3 linked regions of the Oreochromis niloticus genome follow. The protein of the gene in region 2 purifies or fractionates together with the protein of the main gene of each other region. This does not show direct contact. Links are inferred from orthologs where the notes say so. Each region holds a gene or a part of one and is shown on either strand. Other genes may lie near its edges.

Region 1 (8,595 bases), on a different chromosome or scaffold from region 2:
GGCATTACGGAGGATGTGAGAGATCAGCGAAAATGTCTGCAGCCCCTCATCCAAAACTCTCAATAAATGAAACATCAACAAAAGAGAGACCAACGGCTTTCCCTGCACTTAACAAAAACATCTGATGTGCATTATTTCTGTCAGAGCAACAGACTGAGGATGAACAGCTCGGATTTTTCATAGAATGAGTTTCCTCTTCGCGGTATGGTTATGCCCATTAACAAAAGGCTCTTGGGAAGGCATGAGATTTCCAAAAGGTGACCAGAAACTCCAACTTTTTCTAAAGAATGAACCACAACATGGTAATGTGGTGTTACAGCAGTTGAAACATGCATCTGTAGTGCCCTCTAGTGGACAAATAAATTGCTACTTAGAGGGGAAAAAAGAAAGACAATCTTACATCAGAATATGAATACAGCAAATGCTAGAAAAACAACCACATGCTGTATTGCTGGGTTGCATATTTTCCAGGGCTGCACGAGAGCTTTTCAAAGGTTTAGCGCAGACCATAAAAACTCATGTCATTTGCTGGAAGTAGTTTGTGTAGCTGTTCTACTATTTGGACGTAGCACAAACACAGAGAGCTGTTTATCATGACGGCTAAAACGTTTGAAAAGAAAGCATATTCATCTCGTCGCTTGGTACCTTGTGTGCATCTTACGTCAGAAAAATGCATTTTGTGGTGAGTGAAAAACACAAAACAGCTTCTTCAGCTTCTTAGAAGCAAAATATTTCCCAAATACATATGGCAAGTACTTGTTGACAAGACGCTGAAATAAGCTATAAACAGTTTTATAGCCCTGAGCAAAGTTTACTGGGAAAGGCTCTCAGCAAATGTACTTCAATTAGAGTTACAGACCCAATTCCAAAATAGCTGGGACACTGTATAAAATGTTAATAAAAGCAGAATTCATTGGTCCTCAATCTCATAATCCCACATTTTATTTACAAGAGAACATGGAAAACATACCAAATGTTTAAACTTGAGAAAATTGTAGTACTATTTCAAGAAAAAAAACAAGGTCATTTTGAATTTGTTGGCAGCAACATGTCTCAAAAAAGTTGGGACAGGGCCATGTTTACTACTGCGTAGCATGTCCTCTTCTTTCAACAATGTAAACATCTGTGAACTGAGGAGACCAGCTGCTGAGCTTTTAGGAAAGGAACATTATCCCATTCTTATCTGATACAGGATTCTAGTTGCTCAAAAGTCTTGCGTCTTCTTTATTCTATTTTTCATTTTATTTTCTGCCAAATGTTTCCAACTGGTGAAAGGTTTGGAATACAGCCAGACCAGTTCAGCATTGGGACTCTTCTACTGTGAAGCCATGCTGTTGTAACAGATCCAGTACATGCTTTAGCATTGTATTGCTGAATTATGCAAGGTCTTCCCTGAAAGAGACATCATCTGGATTGGAGCGTATTCCAGATGTGTTAGCTGCCAAGCCCATAGGCATTAATGCACCACCAGAGATGCAGGCTTTTAAACTGAGCGTTGATAAGAATTTCAAAGTCTGATTTGTCTGACCACACAACAGATTTTTCCTTCCCATTGTCACCATGTACTTGCTCACAGGGGTCGTCTGATTTTATCTTGAGGCACAACTGCTGTTGCACAGTTGAACATGGGAGCACAACGTTCTTTAATTTAACAAATATATATTATCTCCTAGGGCTGGACTATATCATACCGTTCACGGTAATACCGGTGTAATTTTGGGCAACGATAGGAAAATTAAATATCGCGATAGAATATGGGTAAAACACGCATGCGCAGTGCCTATGTTTACATACGCACATGGCGGCGACGCAGAATGAGAAGAGCGAAAGTGGATCGTTAAATGAAACGGATGAACCAGAATCGGTTTGTAAAAATGCTGCAACTTCAGTGGTGTGGAACTGGTTTAGCTTTCGTCCCTCAGATACACAACAAAGCACTGTTTTTGGTAGCGCATGCTAGCGGGCCGTCGTTATTACCGTGTTGTTTGGAAAATACGGCGCACTTAAAATCAATCCTTTGATTTTTCTGAAAATTGACAGTGCCCCTTATAATCCCGTGTGCCTTATGTATGAATTCTGGTTGTGTTTACTGACCTCGAAACGATTTTATGTGGTACACGGCGCTCAAAAATCTGTCAAATGTTTTAGTACGACTTTGCTAAACTACGAACCCGCACCGCTTGATGGATTGTCGGAGCATTACGGCTATCGTAGGCAGGAGCCTCGCGGAGTGATACGTACTGTGCTTCAACATAATATTACCGTATTGTGTGTGTATAACCTCTTTTTAAGTTTTGTGGATATTATACATGGTTATGCTGAGGATATGTGGGCCAATTTCCACTGGAAATGCCTTTTGGTTAAACTGCCAGCAAGGAATTTGCATTTGCACTGTTACATTTTTATATAACTTTAATGCACATAAAAAACAGCTGCTTGTTTAAGTGAAAATACATTGATGGGGTTTTTTGCACTAATAAAGTTGTGGAGTTGTAAAGTATTTTGTCTAGTGTCAATTATATCGTCAGTTATATCGTTATCGCAAATTTTCAAATGTATATCGTGATAAATATTTTTGGTCATATCGCCCTGCTCTATTATCTCCTTCTTATTTCAGCTGATCTTTTCAGGCACTCCCACAACTAACCATCTGCCTACATCTCACCATCTCCTTAGCATCTTCCTCTGTCACACCAACCATCTTCGTGTCTTCCTTCACATTCATTCATTCATCTTCTCTGTATATCTATTTTCATCCTGCCTGGGGGCTCCATAGCAAAAATCCTTTCCTCAACATATCCACTATCCATCACCTGCACACATGCACAGCCTTGGCCCTTTGTGTCTCCAAACCACTCTGAGGTGTCCCCCGATATGCTCATCTCGAATTCTGTCCATCCTGATTAGTACCAATGTGAACTTCCTCAATTCGGCTTCCTGCAGCTCCTCCTCCTGTCTTTTTGTCAGTGCCATCTCCAAACCATACATCATAGCAAGTCTTACTACCATCTTGTAAACTTTCTATTTCAGTCTTGCTGCTATCCCTCTGCCACAAATCACCTCTGACCTGCTCCATTCTACCTGCACACTCTTCTTCACCTCTCTTCTGCATTGTGCGTTGCTTTGGATGGTTGTTCCCAGATATTTAAACTCATGCACCTTCAGTAACTCTACTCCTTCCATCTTCACCCATCTCCCTCTTATTCACACACAGTTATTCTTTCTTGGTTCTAATGAATTTCATTCCTCTACTCTCCTGAACACACCTCCATCTCTCCAGGTTCCACCTGCTCCCTACTCTTACTAAAGATCACAGTCATCTGTGAACATGACAGTTCACTGAGACTCCTGCCAGACCTCATTTCAGCTGTCCATCACAACAGCGAAAAAGGATGGGCTCACTTATACTGCACACCTCACTATCATCTTGGTGTCCTCATATATGTCCTGTACTACCCTCAAATACTTCTCTGCCACTTCTAACTTCCTCATGCGATAACACAGTTCCTTCCTTGGCATCCAATCACATGCTTCCCTCTCATATAGATATCCATATGCCGCCAAAGGCAAGTCATTTGAACCAACTGCTTTTCCACTCTTCATCCTCTTGTAGCTTTTTCTTCAATGCAGTAATGCACCTGTAAGTTGGCAAACCAACAGGTGCATTACTGCCACCTAGTGGACTGGAATGTGGACAGGAGACTAGCATCAATCATCTAATTCAAGATATTTAAATAAAAGCTTGTTTAATTTCAGTAACAAATTCCTCAATGAAAAACTGTCATTTCTGTCCTTGAATAAAGCCACTGATTCTCTTCTTTCTCACTCAAACTTAATGCAAAGGATTGATACATGTTCAACAGGTTTTGGTGGATTACATAAATGCAGAGACCTGTTCGGTGTTTGCCTGTTCTAGTGTATGGTTTAGCCTATATGTCCTATTGTCAACAAAATAATCAACATTTCTTCCTTTGGATTCCTACCCTGCATTCTCTTCAAGCCTACATTGTTGTATAGATTTCTTCCTGTGTCTGCTGTATCCCAGTAATGAAAACAGTACAGCTCATACTGCTACAAATTTTCCGCAAATGAGTCTTACGATAATTTTAACTTCTTCACAGCTGCCCTCACTTCCTCTTTACTAATCATCTGTACTTCCTGAGCCACACTCCCTTCTTTACCTCGTTTTAGTCATTCATCATCAACAAATATAATATACAGTATGTTAATTCAACACAACACCGCACGAGTTTGTGTAGTGGGTATATCGTTTCACTTACCTTAATGACAAGTTTGATAGGAGCCATTCTCATGAATTCAGTTAGCTTCACTAGAGTAAGTGCACGGTGAGCAGCTATTAGCTGTATTTTTTGAAGACAACAGAGACAGATTTCTTTATTAGTTACGCTCGTGCGACAAACCACCACCGTCAACAATTACAAAAACATAACAAGTGTTATAATAAAATAAAATAATAACATATAATAAGTTCGTTCGACATAAAACATATACATATAATAAAGTTAACCAGGACTTCATACCGCCAACAGTTTTGAATGTTTCTTCAACAGCCAGGCGACCGGAGATGACGTCACCTTAAATTTGTAGTCCAATAACTGAGGGCATTGTGAGTGGGACGTTTCACTGTATGCCTGTTGCATAAAAAAAATAATAATAGAGATGGACAACTACTCTTCTACTATAAAGACTCGTAAATTCGCTTTTAGTTTGTTTATTCCTTATGAAAAGCCGGTACTAGAGGCAAGCGACGGTTTCTCGAGTAGGACCGCAGCTGGGCCAAGCGCTGTGTTGCTACCATGGAAACGAGCTGTGTCTGTACAACGCCTTTGTCAATCTCTTAAACTATACACTGTCAAATTACATCTAAATATGTATGGCATCAAACGTTAGACCCTACAATAAGGTAGTAATGGTTTTGGTTGGATTTAATAAATTAATCTGCAACTGTTCCCCGTTCTTTTTAAAAACAATTTGGTCAGGCAATGCTACGAGCATCACTATTCTATCATTACTAACACTTATTCCTGCCGATTTCAATGCCGTATGTTGGTATTGTCTACCTCAACAATGTTAAATCTGCTTCGGTCATGTCTCGAGTCAGCAAGAAATCTCCATCTGTTTGCACTGATATGCCACTGGACAACACTGATATTTGCAGCAAGCTTCAGCTGCTGAAACAGATACTAACGTCTTGTTTTGGTCCCACAGGTAGACTGAAACAAGTTCACAACAACATTGGAGGACACGTCGTGACCACCTCTGCCTCCTCGGTTCTTCTTTCATCCGTTTCCTCCTCGCAGTCTTTTATCAATCTCATAAAAACCTCCATCCTCAACCACGTCTCTCGCTTCAGCGACTGCGGTTTGTTTGCAGCCATCTTATGCCTTTCTCTTATTGAACAAATCAAAAAGTCTGCTCTCAGGGAAAGCGTGGCTATCAGAGTGAACAACTACCTGCTCGCTCTGTGTACCAGCTACCTTCAACGAGAAGACTGTGGTTGTAGAGTGAAGCTCGACTTCTGCAGCACTCAGAACTTGATCACGTTAGCTCGCAGTGTTATCTCCAGCAAACCCGCATGTGTACTAACAGAGCCCGAGACGCTTCACATTAGCAAACTGGCTGTGCAAGCTTTTTTGCTCACCGTTCCCTGCAGCAGTCCAGGTATAGTCAGTTTTGGCAGAATAGTGACTGTTCCTGTAGAAGGCCATTCTGTGCTAAGCTCTGAAGTGCTTCCAGGTTTACTGGTGGAGATGCCTGATGGCCTGAGCGAGGAAGACAATCTTTTAAATCCCCTCAGTGTTGTGCTTTTCAGTGCATCTCTTGCTGGGGACATTTCTGAACTAGGAGATGGAGTAATTGAGGCCCACTCGGATGTAGACACAGACTCACAGATCCTGGGTCAACTTCTGGAGCTTGGCAGACAGGTGATTAATGATGAAGTGAAGCTCTTCGTGTGCCAGAAGGTCATCCACCCAGTTTTGCAGCAATACCTGAGGAGTCATGGTGTCATAGTGGTAGAGAGACTGGGAATTGCTCTTATGGAACCACTCACTCAGCTGACAGGTAAGCTCAGATGCAGGCTGCAAAATCATGCCATACATACAAGCACCAGTTAAACACCAATAGCTTTATTTGTATTTCAAGTCAACTCATTGCACTACTGTAATAATCTATCTACTGTCCAAGTGGAATATACTTTGTGTTGTATTTATGGTAGGGTTTTGTTTGTTTGTTTGTTTGTTTGTTTGTTTGTTTGTTTGCATACCTTTTACAAATAGGGGCTCAACCTGTGGCCACATTACATACCACAATCCCACCCAAGACCTACGGAAAGGTGAGGGATCTCTGTATAAAGCACTTTGGATCCAAGACAATGCTGCATTTACTCCCTCTTGGGGAGTCTGCGATCTGCACAATGATCCTCTGCCACAGGAACCAGACCATGTTAAATGAGCTGAAGGTAAGATAAAGTGGGTGTTAAAGCTGCCCTGTTGGCTTCTGGAGTTAATGATGGATGGGAAGACATATTGCCTGAAACAATGTAGATTCCACTCATAAGACTCCCTATTGCTAAGATTTACAATTCCTGCTGTATGTTAGTTCAACAAATGAGAAGTCAGTAATGGATTTCCCCACAAAGTAAATTTTTTAGTGTTCGTCCATTGAGAGATCAAATTTCTTCAGATTTAAAAAAATATATGTTTTTAATACAGAGACATGGTATACCCATTATTGTGATGTAAATGTGACAAAGTGGTCACTTTGTGTGTGTGTTTGTGCTAAAGGTGGTGTGCCAGACGGCAGAACATGTACTGAGGCTCACTCTAAGGGAACCATTTGCCTTGGTTGGGGGTGGCTGTACTGAGACACACTTGGCTGCTTATGTTAGACACAAGGTGAGATCCAGTATTTGGTCTTCACTTACCCCAGTTTTATTGATTTCACATATCTTTCACAATGACATGCCTTCATGATGCCATGTTTTTTTTCTTAGAGCAAGAGTGAGGTACCAGAGACTGCATCAGTATTAATGTGCTCACAGACAGAGTACCTTCTTGGTGTGGAGCTTTTCTGCTGTGCTCTGGAGTCTGCAGCTGGAGCACTGGAGCATGATGGTGGCAGTTCTTTAATTGATCTGACTCACGCTCATCGCTGGATGCTCCCTGCAGATGCCATCAAAGAAACCATGGAGGACAGTTTGGGCTTCTGTGGCTGCGGTCTGGTACAAAGTAGCCCAAGTAAGAAGTGGACTTATCTAAACACTAAATATTCGGATTTCTGTCCATCGCCCGTGTTTAGAGACACTCGTGTGCAGCCACATGTACTAGACTCCTTCACAGCTAAACTCAGCGCATTGCAAGTTGCTATAGAAACTGCTAATCTTGCTCTGGATGTTAAATATATAATTCAAGATATGAATTAGCAGAACAAATATTTTGTGTAGTGTGGAATTCTGGTTCGTGGGGTTTAAAATAAGGACTGAATGCTTCCTTTTTGGTTTCAAATAAAAAAAACAAAGTTTAGACAGTAGGGAGTGGGAATGTCTTATTTTTGCATATCATTTAAAACCCATGTTGGCACTGGGGTACATTAGTACATTCTGACATGGGTAACTTATATCTGTGAAGGCAGCATTAATCTTTAACTACACTGCTCAAAAAAATTAAAGGAATACTTTGAAAACGCATCTGATGTCTCTGAGGAAAAAATCATGCTGGGTAATTATACTAATGTGTTAGCAGTAAAGAGATACCATGTTGTTGGATGGAAACGAAAATTATCAACCTGCAGAGAGCTGAATTCAAAGACACCCCAAAAATAAAAATGAAACATTGATACTTCAGGCTAGTCTGTTTTGCAGAAATGTCATTAAAGCAACTCAAAGTACTAGTAAGTAGTTTGTGTGGCCCCCACATGCCTGACAACGTCTGCATATGCCCTTAATGAGATGACGGATGGTGTCCTGGGGGGGATCTTCTTCCAGATCTGGAGCAGGGCATCAATGAGCTCCTGTCATTAGAGGTGTTCCCAGAGGTGTTCTATTGGATTTAGGTCAGGCAAGTGTGGGTGCCAGTCAGCAACATCAGTTACTTTATTCTCTAGGAACTCTCCTTACTCTCACCACATGAGGCTGGGCATTGTCATCCATCAGGAGGAACCCAGGACTCACTGCACCAGCATAGGGTCTGACAGTGGGTCCATGGGGTTCATTCTGGTACCTAATGGCAGTCAGGGTGTCGTTGGCTAGCCTGTAAAGGTCTGTGTGCCTCTCAGTGGATATGCCTCTCCAGACCATCACTCACCCACCACCATGTTAAAGGCAGCATTACATTCTCCACGGCTTCTCCAGACCCTTTCACATCTGTCATATGTGCTCAGGGTGAACCTGTTCTCATCTGTGAAAAGCATAGGTCACCAGTGGTGGACTTGTCAATTCTGGTTTTCTATGGCAAATGCTAATCTGCTCCACGGTGCCAGGCAGTGAGCACAGGGCCCACTAGAGGACGTCAGGCCCTTAGACCACCCTCATGAGTGTCCTGCTGGAGGTCATTTTGTAGCTCTGGCATTGCTCAT
Region 2 (8,349 bases):
ACCTGTGTTATCCATTCCATTTGGATAGATGAATGCCTGATCCGAAAATGAGAAGAGCACAAGGCCTTTATCAAAGCAGCTTGGACTGGTTGCCTCCATGCCTCACTGCACTGATGCAGGAACTCACTGTAAAGAAGTCCCAGTTAGCTGCTAAGTGTATTTCACCTACACGTAATAAATATATGTTCATCTTTTAGAACAAAATTACCAAAAAAAAAAAAAAAAAAAAATTCACAATATTCTGATTCTTTGAGATCCACCTGTACTTCAGTGCATGAAACCCCCCCGGGGGTGAGGGGAGGTGGGTGTGTGTGTGTGTGTGTGTGAGACTAGGTGTATCCTAAATCACACTTGCACATGATTTGTATAATTCATATTTTTGTATTATCTGCCAAACTGTATGTTTTGTAGAAAAAGACAACTCATTGAGTCTTTATTTTTAAAATAATGGATTTTATAATGACAATGTAACAGACAAATCAACTCTGATGAAATAGATTTATTGGTTTTGCAATTTTATAAAAGCGTGTGCAAAGATACAGCATATTAAAATATTTCCATACAAACAAAACTAATGTTCCAAAAAAAGTTACAATACAAACAAAGGTTCTAAGACACTGAGGTTTAATAAAGATTAGTCTTCCTCATTATCCGCAAGAACTCCTGTTCGTTGACCTCACCGTCCCCGTCTCGGTCTGCCTCGTCAATCATTTCCTGAAAGGATAATAAATGTGATGAAGCAAAGGGAAGGAAGTGAGAGCATCAAACCGGAACAATTCTCATACTGACTTCAGGTAACTTTGTGTTTCATGCATGGCATTTGACTGCAAAGGTTACCCAGGAAAACCCCACCTAAAACAATACAGTTACTACTATTGTACTGTGACATGTCAGAACATACCAAGAGGAACTGGGAGATATGAGAAGAGAGACAATAAGTTTGGTACTTAAATAGAAATGTATTTATAGTGGTTCCTCTAAGTATGTATTGTTCTTTAAATAAAGAATTCTTAGCTTCTGGCCATGCGGTATTAATTTACGGTTTGTACCACTTATACAATTTACTGTAGTAGAGGTACTACAATATTTTAAATATGAGGTAGCGAATTTAAAATCAGTCAAACCAGCAAAAGGGTCCACTTTACCCCATCAGAATGAGCAACTTTTTTTTTGTACTTTAGTATATTTAACAAAGCCAGCTGGGGTGGCTGTAGCTCAGGAGGTGCAGCAGGTTATCCACTAACTGGAAGGTTGGTGGTTTAGTCTGCAGGCCAGGCCAAGTATCCTTGTGCAAGATAATGAACAACAAGTTGCTCTCTGATGTGCTCATTGGAGTACGATTGTATGTGAATGTTAGACAGAAAGAACTTTTTGTGTAGAAAAAAAGTGCTTATATGAGTGTGTGTTTGAATGAGGCATATAAAGTAGAGTAGAAAAGCGAGAACCGGTTCATTTACATATAAAAATTTAAATCTTTACACTATGAATATTTACTGCAGACTGACTTGCAGGCTCTCAAAGTACTGAGCAGCAGAGCAGTAGAGAAACCTTTTTATTAATTCATTTCATTTTACCCAGCGTTACTGAGCCTTCATCAGGTTTTATGCAAAGGAGAAAGCCATATTGTATTTTTCAGAACTGAAAAGCGCTCTGTTAAAAATCAAATCAGTTTACACCCACTACAAATATCACAATCTAAATTCAAAATCTTTTTTTTGTTCAAGATGGGGTTTTTCTCAAAACCCAACTTTTTGAGCATCATTACCTCAGGAATCAGTTTCAATAACCTGATAATACAAAATGCAATTTTTAATTTATGATTTTTTTCATTAATTTGATTGAGGGAAAAATGCTATCCAAATTTACCTGGCAGTATGTGAAAAAGTATACCGAATAACTGGTCTTACCACCCTTGGCAGTAGAAACTGCAATCAAGCCTTTCACATCACTGTCCTACCCTTCTTTGCAAAACTGTTTTAATTCAGCCACATGAACAGCCTGTTTAAGGTTATGCCAAAGCACCTTAATCAGTCGTGACTTGTGTTTTCTTTGTTTTTTTTTTAAGCCAATCAGAGGTGAACTTGCTGGTGTGTTTCGGATCATTGTCCTGCTGCATAACCTGAGTGTGCATGAGTTTCTGGGATGAACTGATGGTCAGGCATTCTCCTTTAGGATTTTCAGGTATAGAGCAGAACTCAAAGTTCCGTCAATTAAGTCAAGTTGACCAAAGCAGGCCCAGATGTTGCTACGATGTACTTTTTTTAAAATGCTGTGTTTGTTTTATGCTAGATGTAGCGGGACTCAAACCTTCCCAAAAAGTTCAACTTTTTGTCTCGTCAAGGTCTTGGAGATCAACAAGACATTTTTGGCAATTGTGAGAATAGCCTTTATGTTCTTTTTGGTTAGAACTCACTCTTGGAACTTGTAGTTCTTTAGATGTTGTTCTCGGTTCTTTGTGACCTTCTGGATGAGTCATCAGTGTGCTCTTGGAGAAATTTTAGCAGGTCAGCCACTCCTGGGAAGGTTCACCACTGTTCCAGCCTCTCTCTATTTGTGTATAATAGCTCTCACCGTGGTTTGCTGGAGTCCTTAAACCTTTCCAAACTGATAGATGCCAATGTTTTTGTTTCACAGCTGTGCTGCTTTTTCAGATCTTTTAGCCTACTTTACTTCCTTTAAACAGCCTCTGTTTAAGTGATTTCCTGATTCCGGCAGCAGTCAGGCCTGGGTGTGGCTGTGAAACTGAAGTCAGCTTTCAAAAAAATGTGTTTAATCACAGTTAATTCATGATTTAAAAAGGGGAGGGTGGATTACTTCTTCACACAGGGGCAGGTAGCTGTGGATAGCTAGTGCATGTCCACAGTGTGTGACAAATATGCAAAAAAAATAAGAAATAAGGAAGGGCCAAAGACTTCCTTACAGTACTGTATAATCACTATGTGGGATAGTTGTTTGGACAAAACTATAACATTATCAAAGGTCTCATTTTTACCTACATTTGTTTTTTAATCAGGCTCATCTTCTGTGATTCCTTATATGTCAAAATCATTTTCCAAATTTGGCCCACAGATATTCATACTATTTCATGGTATGAATTTAGCATGGCTTCAATAAAAATACAAAAGTTATTCTTAGTATAAACAAAATCTTTTATGTACATGCAAAAGTGCTACCACCCCCCCAAAAAACCAAAACTGTAAGTACTCCAAAGTAATGAAGAACTCTATACCTGCAGCTCTGCATCTGTGAGGTTTTCACCCAGCTCCTTGGCAACTCTCTTGAGATTTTTGAATGAGATTTTTCCCGTGCAGTCATCATCAAAGAGCCGGAAAGCCTTCAGTATTTCTTCTTTTGTGTCTTTTTCACTCTGTTATCATCAAAAATGAATACACACATGAATATAATACAAATTAAAAATGTGCTTTTTTAACATTTTGCTCCAAATGCAGTCCAATATGAACATAATTTGCAGAATGTGTGTAGGAAATGAAGTGAAGCAAATTTTACAAAACACAGACATAAAGAATGTGCATACAGTATATTTTATAACTCTTAAATGGAAAAATGTTTTGTAATGTAAAGAACAGGTGGCCACAATACATTTTATCTATAGTTTTTTCAGTCTGAAGAAAGCCTTTTGCTATGATCTACTGTTACTGTGCTATTTATTAGTAAGGACACAGGAAAGCCAGAAAGGTGTTGGTGACTTTGCATGTACAGTGCCGTGATGTATTTGCTCATTGTAGCAGGACCCATGCTAATCAGATGCCAATCAGGCACCTGATCGTCAACATCTGAAGTACCAGAAGCTCCAAACAAGAGTCAAGAGCAGAACAAGCACTGGCAGAGACGATTTGGTTTTTCATGGGTCAACCCACAAATACACTAGCCTTACAAATGTGTCTGTGTGTGAGACAGGGAGGGCGAGAAAGAGAGCAAGAGCGAGAGAAAGAAAGCTACTATATCTAGCAACTTCTTGCAATGTTTAGAATTGCTCCAAAACAACAGTTGTTGAAACAACATACAAATGCTTGATTTAGCTGCAACAGTTGAGGACAGTGCTATTTTCAGACAGTAAAACTTCCAACTTAACTGCAGAGACGTTTTCTGGTTGTTCCTTTCGGTAAAGCACTCACCATTTTCAGTGTCATAATACTGAGAAAGTCACCAAAGTCAATCGTTCCAGAGCCCTCTTTATCAATGTCTGCAATCATCTTCTTGATTTCTTCTTTCTTTGGTTCAAAGCCCAGAGCTCTCATGGCAACCTGTGGCACAGATAACAGTAAAGAAAGCTGAAGCTGCTGCGGTGCAGTGACCGCGATATGTTTTCCTTTCTTAATTTTCATCAATACACATTTAACTAGAAAGCCAACCTTGAGCTCCTTCACGTCTATTGTTCCAGTTCCATCTGTGTCAAAGAGATCGAACGCCTCTTTAATTTCTTGCTTTTGCTCCTCAGTCAGGTCGTTTTTTAAATCCGTCTTTTTCCTTTGGCTAGCCGTGGAAGCTGGTTTCCGGTAACTTGAAGCCTATGAAATACAATATTAATACATCACAAAAGGTACCTATTAAGTTAACAGCAACGAGAGTCGCGGTACATATCGTATTTTAGGTCATTATTATGCTAGCTAGCTTAAATGCTGTTCCGGGAGACCAAAGAGAATCAAGTTAAAACTAAGGGCTTTTTATGGCAAATCTCACAACTTCTTAAAATGTTCATTAAACATTCGTTTATACAGTTACTTTACTTAATTAAATAAATGCACACCATTTGAATTAATGATCCCGACGGGGAAACCTCTATGTTTTGTTTGATGGTCTGGTGTCAACAAACCAGGTAGCAACGGCTGTGTAGTTTTTCTGTGAACAGACATTGGAAAGAGCCAATACAAATGATGAAAGCACGCTGACGAAACCTGATTAACCAATCACAAAAAAGAGTAGGCGGGCTAAAACTGTTTCAGCCAATCATACGGACAGTTTGTTGTCGCCCAGCAACTAGGAAACAAAACGCATGCGCAGTGTTTAATCGGTTGAGCTGGACCAGGCGTATTATAAATGTCTCGTACACTATTGAAATAAGGTAAAAGTATACTCATTGAGGTTAGTAAAAAGTTTGTTTTACAGTGCCATTTTGCAGAGACATTTATGTTTTTTGTCCTGCTCTTGGAATAAGGTACAGACACGGGCAGTTTTGTAGTAAACCTGTCTTTGGTTCGTTAGCTTAGCTTGTAAGCTGACTTGTAAGATGCTGAGTGAAGTGCAGGCATTGACAAAACTCGGTGCTAGTGTTGGAGGAAGAATTAATACCCGTCAGTTTTTCATGAGTAGCAATGTTTTACATCTAATACCTAAATCTATTATATATGGGTTGCACCCATTATATCTGTCAAAAGTCAGTATGCTGACTGCCATCTGTCTGCAAATACGATTTTCCATTTAGCAGTGCTTGGCTGTAAACTGCTTAAATCTTAAAAGACACGTGATGAGGGGGTGAAAGGCTTACGAACAGTTTGGTTTCCCTGGACAAAGAAGGAAAACAAAACAAAATATCAAACTTGCCAAATTGCTATTTTAATTACCGTTATCAGAGTTAAAAGAGTTTTGTTTTTTGTTTTTTTTTAAAAAGCCCACACTGACAGTGAAAACAGCTCAGTTGACAGTGATGACTCGGGTTAAGGCTTCTCTGCATAAAAATGATTGAAACCCTTAATTAACTAGATTAGAACTTTCTAGAATATCTGTAAAGTTGACACGTCTTGCCATTAAACTAAAGAAAACAGTTGTTCAGGCTAGGTTAACCAGAGAGTTTACAATCCGTGAGCAATAGTAGGGCTCCATGCCGAGAAAGAGAATTACAGATGTGATATTCACTTTGAACATGTTGATGGAGATGTGTGGAGAAGGTCAAAACTGTTTCAGGCTGTTTTTGTAGCTCTAGAGAAAGCATATGATACGCTGCCAAGAGAGGAACTGTGGTACTGCATGAGGGAGTGAGTAGTGTTAGAGAAATATCTGAGGCTGGTGCAGGACATTTATGAGGATAGTGATGAAGTTTGCAGTAGGAGTGATAGATGGGTTTTCAGTGGGGGTGGGATTACATCAGGGATCTGCCCTGAGCCCATTCTTGTTCACAGTGGTGATGAACAGGTTGATAGATGAGGTCAGGCAGGAAAAGAGGAAGACCACAGATAGGTTCATGGATGTAGTGAAGGAGGAGATGCAGGGGGTTGGTGTGACAGAGGATCCTAGGGATAGGTAGAGATGGAGCCAGGTTATGTGCTATGGCGACCCCTAAAGTGAGCAGGCAAAAGAAGGAGTAGTAGAAGATGGTCTATCATAAAAAAAAGAAACAGCATAAAAACAAATAGGGCCATTAAAAAAAGCTATTCTCGCAATCCCCCCTCCCCTGCGTCTTTTTAGTTTCTTACAAATCTTTTTTCATTTGAGGATTACAGTACCATAATGTATAATACATTTGAATTTCCAGGAGGTGTGCTCTGTCTCAGATTGGTGACCTCTCCAGGGTGTACCTCACCTCTCACCCTATGGTAGCTGGGATAGGCTCTAGCCCTCTCGCGACTTAAATAAGGATAAGCAGAAGAGAATGGATGGATAAAAAAGGAGATCTGAGGGCCTATACTTAGTTACTGTGCTTTGTGACTTTTTACTTTAAAAACACAAATCATGTTTCCTAACTAAAGCAAATGTTCGTGAGAACTTTTTTTGTTTAGAAATGACCAAACTTAAAAATTTTCTTTTATAGTTCACAGTCCTCGAATGATGTTGGGAAGTACAATCATAAACCATCGACAGCATGTTGGACTGCAGAAACTGTTGGCGCTGGCAGGAATCTCACATTCCTCTTTGGGCCCTTGTATAAAGTACAAGTTTATCCAAGATGACAAAAGTGGGGAGTCTGCTCTTGTGTGCTCATGTTTTCGCATTATTGAGACCCTGGAGCTGACCTGTGCAGTGGGTCAGCTGGTTTATGAGACTATTCAAGCCCACCAGAAGGTCTACCATACAGGATCAGGATGCCTACTGTTCCTAGCAGGAGCCTGGAGCCGTGTTGCCCTGGACTGTCTTCAGAGAGGAATTTCAGTAGGGAACATAATCTCAGCTATGTCTGAAGGGATGGATGTATGTCTGGATGCTTGCAGGAAATGTGCCGTTTCAATTGATGGTCTGGGTGTGACATCGTTAGAGAGTTATGCTGTGAAAGTGTCCAAGAAACCCATCAAAAATTCATCGCCTGCATTGTGCAGCATGCAAGAAACAATAAAGTTTGACCTCAAGACTCTGACCGTCGGTGAACAGAGAAGAATAAAACTTAGCAGACATTTTTGTGAGGCGAAGTCTGAAGATTTCTCCAAAGTATTGCTACAGTCTCCTCAGCCTAAGCTTCCTGACATTGTACACATTGCAGAGGGATTGAGCCATGGTTGTGATGATGCAATGAAACTTGTTGTCGAAGTTATTTGGATGCAGTCAAAAACTAATCAAGAAGATGTGAGCTATCCCATGTTTGACATTACTAAAGTGGTGACTTGTATGCTCCCTGGTTTACCAGAGGACCACGGGTGCGTTGTATTTGGCTGTGTTGTTCTTTTATTTGCTGAACAGGCTACAGTCGCTCATCACTTAAAAGAACAACAACTGAAGGTTGTTCTCATAAATGGAGATTTATCACATACTTACCGCCATCTTGGCTTTAACAGGCCGACAGGTATGCACCGTGTGAGGGATCACGTGGATTTTTCAAGTTCGAGCAAAGAGGACGAATGGGTGGAACAGACTGTGGCACATCTGTTGAACCTGGAAGTGAACCTGATACTAATCCATGGGCACGCTTGTGAAAAAGTGATTCAGCACTGTTGTAGGCATCGTATACTTGTAGTGGAAAATGTGAAGGCTTCTGTTTTGAAGACATTTGCCAACTTGTCTGGAGTTGTTCCGGTAACCTTTGCTGCGCAACTGAGCAAGCAAAATGTTGGCACTGGGGCAAAGGTTGCAATATGGAAAGACCTCAGTAGCCACGAGAAGAACGCCCTGGCTGTGAATATCTCAACTGGCAGCAACAGCGGGCTAGTTACAGTAATCCTTACAAGCTCTATACATGGAAAGCTGCAGGCCCTGGAGGACCAGTTTTGGGCCTGTGCTTATCGCTTACACTATGCACTAAAAGACAGAGCTCTTCTACCAGGGGCGTGTGGGACAGAAATGCTTTGTATTCATCACCTACAAAAGCGAGTGGAGTATCATGTCATGTGTCACAGAGAAAAGAACGGTGAGAAAGGAACCAACCACTACACGCGTGTAGTGTTGGACCTCATGGCAGATGGTTTA
Region 3 (7,997 bases), about 670 kb from region 2:
ATGAATTTTGTATGCTAGCCACTGAGAGAACCTGAGTGTAAGTTTAAAGTCAGTAAATCTGCTACCAGTATATATGAGAAGAGTGGAGACAAGAACAAGGGATTGGTTGGGTTTAATGTTAACCATCTTTGTGTCTCTGCAGCAATTTCTGATGAGCAACAAGCTGGAAACTGCAATGTGGCTGTCACGACTCTTCACTGTCTATTGCTCTGTAATGTTCATTCTACCAGTTTTGGGGTGAGTTCACTGTGGAAAATCATCTAATTATAAATGTTGATTAGCTTTAAAAGTAGTTATAAACCAATCTAAATCAGCATTTGAGTGTTTGTCACTGCTTGTATATTTCAGACCTTATGCAGCAGCTAACTTCTATCAGAGAGCGTTGTTAGCGAATGCCCTCACCAGTGCTCTTCGCTTACACCAGAGGCTTCCACGCTTTCAGCTGAGCAGAGCTTTCTTGGCCCAGGCTCTGCAGGAGGACAGCTGTCATTACCTGCTCTACTCACTCATCCTGGTCAACTCCTACCCCATTACAAGTATCCTTTCATTGTGAGCAAGTCTGCAAGTTTAAATGGAGATGATAGCATTGCTACATACATTGTGTGTTTTGTTTTTTTAGTTTTAAACAATAATGAAACACTATTTCACTGTTATAGTTGGACAGTGATTCACTATTTACTTGTTGCTGCAGTTTTTTTCCAAAGACAGTCTGATAGGATTCCTTAAAGGGTTCGTTTTGAGACATTCAATAGGATTCAGACCTGCAGTATTACAAATCAATTAGTCTTAGCAGTGAAAGATTTAGTTTTTCCATAGGTGCAATCATGCTCCCTTACTATTGTATTATTTAGGAGGAAGTTGTTCTTTTCTGTTATTTAACCTTAACCTTCTTGTCCAGTGAGCATCTTTCCAGTTTTTCTTTTTTCCTTGCTTCACGCAACTACCTACACAAAGAAAGTTCTTGATGTAAGTATGAGTCACCACAGTGACTTATTGAAAATTACTGTGAAATCAGTTTAAACATTATTTAGCCACAAGCTGGGATATTAGTACCAGCCAGACCACCATGTCTGAGGCAGCAGAGAAGGTTTGTGGTTGGATTCACACAATGGCAACAGAGCAGCGCTTTACATGGCTGCTCTGCTCCTGTTGGTGTGTGTGTGCGTGTTTGAGATAGATTAGGTAAATTAGAAACACATCGTAAAGAACTTTATAGTTAACTGTTACAGTTAAATGGAACTATGAAAGTATAATGTACCATTTAGACACAACTTAAAATCTGGAAGCTAATGATTTCTAATGTGTTTTCCTTTACCTTTTACTTCTTGCTCCCACTGCTCCTTTCAAAATGTTAATTTGCCAAATCTTTCATTTCACTTTGTGACTATTTTTTGTTTCTTTTAGACCATGGGCCCAAACAGCATGATGTTTATCCGGGGCCTCCTGGACAAACTGACATCTAATCAGCAGAATATCCTGAAGTTTATTGCCTGTAATGAGATCTTCTTGATGCCAGCAACTATTTTTATGCTGTTCAGGTATGCGTACAACTGTTTCTTTTGTGAAGGATTTCTTTTGTGAAGACCCATTGTAGCATCCCTAATCTAGTGATATGTTAATATTGATTACTGGCAGTGATTGTTTTGTTGTTGTTGTTGTGTTAATCTCATAAATATGTATCAGTTTTATCTCAACAAATGCAAGCCCTTCTTTGTAATCTTAATACAGAGTGTCCAGTTTTCACATGTTCATGTCAATAATATTTTGTCAACAGCGGCCAGGGGAGCCTATTGCTGCCTTTCATTTATTACCGATTCCTCACTCTGCGCTACACATCCAGAAGAAATCCATATTGCCGGTAAGATTTTGAATTATCTGTTATTGTCACATAGCAACATGGTGTTGCGCTGTTGCTTCACAGCAAGAGGCTCTGGGGTTCAACCCAGGACATGGCCCTTCTGTTTAGAGTTTTCATGCCCTGCTATTCAGAAGGTACAAAGATTAGATTAGATTTACTTTCAATACAATCCGAGTGAAGTACTTTTCTTTCTGTCTCAGCACCTTGTTCACCGAGCTGCGAATTCTTTTGGAGCATTTCATCATGAAGCCTGCCTGCCCTGCCTTCTTCAGGAGGATGTGCCTCAGCAGTATCGCCTTTATCAGCCGCCTCGCCCCCACGGGGGTTTGATTACACTAAATTTGTTTTCCTCATGTGTTGTTTTTCAGTAAGATGTACGATGTGACTTAACTTCGATGGGGAAAGACTTTGCCATCAATGGAAGGAACCGTTTTTTTGAATGTCAACTTTACAGTCTGTGCTCCAATTTTTGTGTATCTGAGTGCAGCTGAAGACCAGCCAGTAATGCACTGAAGGCTCATGCTGATATTTGATTTTCCATCCTTTTAATGTGACCTCATTGAAGCGGTGGACATCCTGTTGTTCTGTTACCTTCGATGGGCTGAGCACATTAGCTTGACATCAGCTGTGTTCCGTTTATCGGCTGTTATCATTCTTTCCTTTCATGTCTTATTTATTCATTAAAATCACTTATTATATAATGAAACATTAACATTCTGAGATTAGTAAATTAATGAACATGTGTTTATAAACAATGGATTCTGATCATTTCTTTAAATAATCATATTGTACTTTTTCAGGTTCTAACTATGTCTGATTTGTAAAGCATCCAATGCTCTTATTTGTCTAAAGCCTAATTATTAAATGTATTCTATCAATGCCATTGGCTCACATTTCAGCAACATGCAAAATCTTATGTAGCTATGATGTCAAATGGATGTTAAACTGAGAAAATAATCTGCTGTATTTTATAGGATATTTTAAGGTACCAGATGTTCTGCTGTATGATTCACAAATGGAATAACTTGCAGAAAGCATGCCATGCTTATGAATGCACTCTGACCTCATTTCTCAGTTTAAAAGCTGTTTTGATTTTGAGTCATTCATTTCTTATTAGGCTATAGGTTTCTTGCTTAATGCATGCTCTGGTATGTTTTTCTTTCCCTGCCATGTTAATTGTGTTTACTTGCCTACAGACAAACCACATTTTTATAATGACAATAAAGTTATCTCCTAAACAAACACAGTGTTGAAGAATGCTAATTGGGTTTGGTACCAATAAGTTCTTGCATTATAATAGTTGACTTCGATATGAACAAATCCTAATAAGGATTTATTTATGCCTGTTTTTAATATTTATTCAAAGCATAGATCTAATATAAAAGTATTTATCACAGATAATTACAGTGTTAATGTATATTGTTTCTTACTAGAGAAATGTGAGTTAGTGAATAATTGTTCATACCCTATGAGTACATTGTTTTTAAGTGGTTTCCAATTAAACCTAAAAACAATTTTACACATACATATCAAATAAATCTTATAGACACACAGCATGCCATTTATCTGGGATATATTTGCCAAAAAAATAAATAATGTGTGATATTTATGTATCATTTTAAATAAGAGTTCTTTGATTTTATGATGCAACAGGTATTTATGTGGGAGAGTAAAAAGAGCTTATTCTGTCCATTTAAGTTCAGACACGTATTCTTCCCTGATTACTTTTGACAACACCAGTTAGTCATCTGAAAACACAAGAAAGAAGACAATTTTCAAGACAACTCTGACAAGATACCATCACTAAAACCAAATTTGAGTTTCTCTACAGTATGTGCCAGCATTTGTGTAGCTAAAGGACTGTGTTTATTAATGGTGTGTATAAAGAAATATGACTATGACTTTTAAGCACCTTCAACATTGGCATAATAAATGTGTCACGAAAATTAAATGGTGTTTTATGTTTAAAAATGAGAGGTGCCAAGAGGGTCTGGATAAGTAGTCAATTTTGTATTTCCCAAAAATAGAGAAAGAGTAAAAGTTGGTACAGATCCTTTAGTAAAAACTAATCAGTTGTTTCCAAAGCTTTGAAAATTCAAAAGGCTAATGGGATTTTTCACATTACTGGCAAAATGGCACGCTTTGGCCACTTTTAAAAAGATTATGGTCATTATTTGCTGCTTTTATGTTTCATTTCTCTTTTTGTCTTTCATGTATTATTGTATTTTCTGCCAGCTGTAGAAGTGACATGACGCACAGGGTGGAAAACGTGAATGAGTTAGCCAATCAGAACACAGCTTCAATGTCTGTTACTCCCTTTCAACCAGTGGAATTGCAGTTTTGTTACAGCCTGCAACGTTGCCATTAGCAACGGCAACTGCCCTCTTCAAGTCTGAAAATGCTGCACAGATCGTTTATACCTGATATCAGCGTTTAATGAAAATTTATCCGCGCTCACATCTACACACATCGACTTCCTTCGTGTCTTTTTTAAAGATGATTTTCGGTCTTTGAGGAAGACTGCGTGCCAGTACCAGTTAGCTCCGATAGCTAAAGCTAGCACGTTGAGCTAATCCACTTGCTTTAGATAATCCCAGTCTCAGCTAGCATCGTTATCGTCTTGGAATTGGGTTGAACGTTTTTCTGACAAAATGTTAATGGTAACGGACGGCTATGGGGCAAGAGTAATGTCTGAATAACCTTCTTGGACTATTTGCAGATTTTTGTTTCTACTTAAGTTGAAACACAGTAGAGAAAGAAGATGGATCTTCGCCTCAATAGAGTTGATTACATTCAGGTAAAACAAAGCAGACCACGTCGGGTTTCTGCTGTCTTTTTTTCTTTTTCTTTTATTAATATTAGGAGTAAAAGTTCCCCTCCATTCTACCTCTCAGGTTGGCGTGACATCTCAGAAAACTATGAGGCTTCTTCCTCCACTGGGAAAAAAGGCAACCCAAAAGGTATCGTTTATGAGCCATACAGTAACCTAAATTAATTAAAATGTGTTTTCTTGTTTTCTGACTAAATCCAGATTGTTTTCCTGCTTTTGCTGAAGACTGCAGATGTTTAAAAAATGTAACCTTGTTTGGGTTTTAGTTTATTTAACTGTAATACTAATTTTGTTTATTAGATGGTAAGAAATCAAAACCAATGACATTGATTTTTGATAAATAATTGCTTTACCAGAGCCCTTCAATAAGTAAGACTTGTCACGCTGTGTAGTAATTTGGGCAGTTGTTTTGAAGTTTCAGTTTAATTGAAAGAGGCAGTTTTCAATGGGACATGTAAACTGCTTGTATAGTCAGTCAAATTTCATAAAAAACACTATAAAAATTAATAGACTTTGCCTCAAAACAATATTTAAACACCATTTTTCCAGCAGGCTTTAATTAAACATGTTTTCTATTAGTTCATTGTAGAAAACTTTAAAAAGTGCATTTTGGGTAAACCTCAAAGGTCATATCACCATTTGGGATCAGTGCTTGGTCAAAACAAATTATAGTATATGTAAGGTCTCTTTTGACACTGGGCTTATCTTCTAGATGTGATTCCTTGCCTTTTCTACAATCATTAATTAAACTAAAAAATGAAATTGGTAAATCTTAGAGTGCTCGATTGGTGTCTCCTCATGTTTCAGGTTGCTATTGCTGATCACGATGGAATACTCACATGTTTTGGTATCAAGAAGGGGGAAGCAGTGGTGAGTAAATATTTTCCTGTCATCACAGAGATTTGAAACAAACAGCTTGTAAGACTTTTGACTCTTTGTTTCAGCCCGTCTTTAAAACACTTCCTGGGCAGAAGATAGCCCGAATGGACCTTGGAGGTGCTGCGGGAACTCCCCAGGAAAAGATCTTTGTCTGCTCTGGTTCTCAGGTCCGAGGATTCACCAAGAAAGGCAAACAGTTCCTCACTTTTGAAGCCAACCTAACTGAGAGCATTAATGCAATGTAGGAACTATGTTTTTTCATTTTGATTTACATTACACGATTGAGCTGTGCAGAGCTGTGTCATCTTTACCCCACTGGGTCTTTTCCAGGCATGTGTCAGGCTCCGACCTTTTTGTGTGCGCAAGTTACATCTACAACCACTACTGTGACTGCAAAGATCAGGACTACTACCTCTCTGGAGACAAGATCAATGACATCACATGCTTGTCCACAGAAAACCTCACTCACCTCGTCCCAGTCCTGGCATGCCAAGATCGAGTGCTCAGAGTCTTGCAGGTAAACTGAGCTCTCATTTACTGTTCTGATTTTGAGTTGCTCTTTGTCAGATGAGACATGCCAATTGTTTTATGGTTTTGTATGTAGAGATCTGAACTTGCATATGACATAGAAGTTCCTGGCCCTCCTTCTGTGTTGGAACTGTATAAAGATAAAGGCAAGCTGATTTCTTTGTTTACTTTAACTATAAAGCATGAAGTTGCTTTATATGTACCAGTTTGAACTTAATTTCTTAGATTTCTCTTTAGGAGAGGAAATTCTCTATGGAACCACAGATGGAAAAATAGGATTGGTTGAGATTGGTGAACATTCAGCTGCGACCAAATGGGAAATTGACAATGACAAAAAGAAAGGAGGTATGTACAGAAATGCAATATTTTTACTGTCCAACAGAGGGTGATTGCTCTGAGTCAAAGCAGTCATAAAGCAGAGTCTACTGCAGCGGTCCCCAACCTTTTTTGCGCCACGGACTGGTTTATGCCTGACAATATTTTCACAGACCGGCCTTTAAGGTGTCGCGGATAAATACAACAAAATAAAACTAGTACCGGTACCGAAAAAAAGAAGATTTATTCATAACACAAGTGAAAAGACCCAGGAAAACCGAGTTAACGATAACAAAATAACACTGAAAACCGATAAAAACCCTGAAAACCATACATTTCACACCTGAGCCTCAACTCTCGCGGCCCGGTACCAAACGACTCACAGACCAGTACCGGTCCGAGGCCCGGGGGTTGGGGACCACTGGTCTGCTGCATGGGCGTGCAGTAACAATTTGTTTCTCAAACAGATCTATCTGATCTCATTTTATACACAGTCTATGTTTCCACAGTGTTTAAACTGATACTCATGCATACTAACTTATGCATTTTTTAACCTCTGGCAAAACGATCACGCTTTCTGTCTCCCAGGAATTCTTTGCATTGACACCTATGATATTATTGGTGACGGAGTGAGTGATATCCTGGTGGGGAGGGATGATGGGACGGTTGAGGTCTACGGCTTTGACAGCTCTAATGAACCGACATTACGCTTTGAGCATGTAAGTGATTAAAAATTCACTCTCCATAGAATTACAGTTGTATTTTTGTAACTGTTACAAACCTAAAGTTCTTTGAATAGTTGTTGCTTAATTTACATATATTAATGCATTTAAGTATTAAATGACAGACTCCCTTCTTAATCTTTAATATTTCCTCATAACAGGTATTGTCAGAGAGTGTGACCTCCATCCAGGGTGGTTGTGTAGGGAAGGAGTCTTATGATGAGGTCTTGACTGCCACCTACACTGGTTAGATGATAATGTTTCCCTTAATACTGCAGCTTATGCATTTTTTTTCCTCAGAAACAATAAGTGTCTGGTGTCTTGTGTCCACTCTTTTCTTCACCTCTTACAGGATGGGTGACTGGTTTGACCACTGAGCCTCAGAAGGCCGAGGCTGGCCCCGGAGATGAAGTCAGGATGAGCAAGGAGACACAGTCTAAAGTAGAAGCACTCAGGTATTAGCAAAATCTTGTTCCTTTTTTTTGTTTGGTTTACTCTGAAGTGTGATTTCAAAACAAGTCTGTTTTTCAGTTAGTAATGTTGTCAACTTTCAGGGCAGAGCTGGAGCAGCTGCAGGTCAAAGTCCTGCAGGGACGTGAGCAGTACCAGCAGACCTCTCAATCAAGCACGGCTGTCTCTGCTGTCCCCGTCTTCAGCATCAATGACAAGTTTACACTCTGCCAAGACGATGCCAGCTACAGCCTCACCCTGGAGGTGCAGACTGCCATCGACAACCTGCTGTTGCAGGTACATTTGTCTGTTATACCGCACTGTTAAAAGACAAGTTGCAAAACAAAACAAAAAGTACACCTTTCATTCTGTGTAGCAAAAGTAAGCTAGAAGAATATGACTGAGATTAATGTTC

What was found.
Region 1: the proteins of bbs12 (region 2) and mkks purify together in Homo sapiens (co-immunoprecipitation; 4 studies listed by BioGRID and IntAct, counting the BioPlex papers as one, with this or other methods). This does not show direct contact. The link is inferred for Oreochromis niloticus from reciprocal best matches to the Homo sapiens genes BBS12 and MKKS.
Region 3: the proteins of bbs12 (region 2) and bbs7 purify together in Homo sapiens (co-immunoprecipitation; 3 studies listed by BioGRID and IntAct, counting the BioPlex papers as one, with this or other methods). This does not show direct contact. The link is inferred for Oreochromis niloticus from reciprocal best matches to the Homo sapiens genes BBS12 and BBS7.

The regions. Positions count from the first base shown.
Region 1 is NC_031978.2:23,281,809-23,290,403, forward strand, and holds mkks (molecular chaperone MKKS), read left to right. Parts: upstream 1-5,017; 5' UTR 5,018-5,057; coding exon 5,058-6,084; intron 6,085-6,299; coding exon 6,300-6,481; intron 6,482-6,806; coding exon 6,807-6,917; intron 6,918-7,015; coding exon 7,016-7,444; 3' UTR 7,445-7,544; downstream 7,545-8,595. Other genes in the region: protein SLX4IP, read right to left, coding at 4,281-4,361, 4,542-4,661. UniProt on the Homo sapiens protein: Probable molecular chaperone that assists the folding of proteins upon ATP hydrolysis. Plays a role in the assembly of BBSome, a complex involved in ciliogenesis regulating transports vesicles to the cilia.
Region 2 is NC_031966.2:11,149,028-11,157,376, reverse strand, and holds the start of bbs12 (chaperonin-containing T-complex member BBS12), read left to right. Parts: upstream 1-4,981; 5' UTR 4,982-5,083; exon of another isoform or gene 5,084-5,103; intron 5,104-6,766; 5' UTR 6,767-6,780; coding exon 6,781-8,349. Other genes in the region: cetn4 (caltractin), read right to left, coding at 625-714, 3,230-3,367, 4,137-4,265, 4,374-4,529, 4,769-4,771. UniProt on the Homo sapiens protein: Component of the chaperonin-containing T-complex (TRiC), a molecular chaperone complex that assists the folding of proteins upon ATP hydrolysis.
Region 3 is NC_031966.2:11,820,548-11,828,544, forward strand, and holds the start of bbs7 (BBSome complex member BBS7), read left to right. Parts: upstream 1-4,194; 5' UTR 4,195-4,619; coding exon 4,620-4,655; intron 4,656-4,752; coding exon 4,753-4,818; intron 4,819-5,495; coding exon 5,496-5,558; intron 5,559-5,632; coding exon 5,633-5,808; intron 5,809-5,897; coding exon 5,898-6,084; intron 6,085-6,171; coding exon 6,172-6,241; intron 6,242-6,320; coding exon 6,321-6,440; intron 6,441-6,998; coding exon 6,999-7,129; intron 7,130-7,293; coding exon 7,294-7,378; intron 7,379-7,484; coding exon 7,485-7,587; intron 7,588-7,686; coding exon 7,687-7,879; intron 7,880-7,997. Other genes in the region: tmem33 (transmembrane protein 33), read left to right, coding at 143-237, 349-536, 899-966, 1,405-1,538, 1,775-1,858, 2,059-2,188.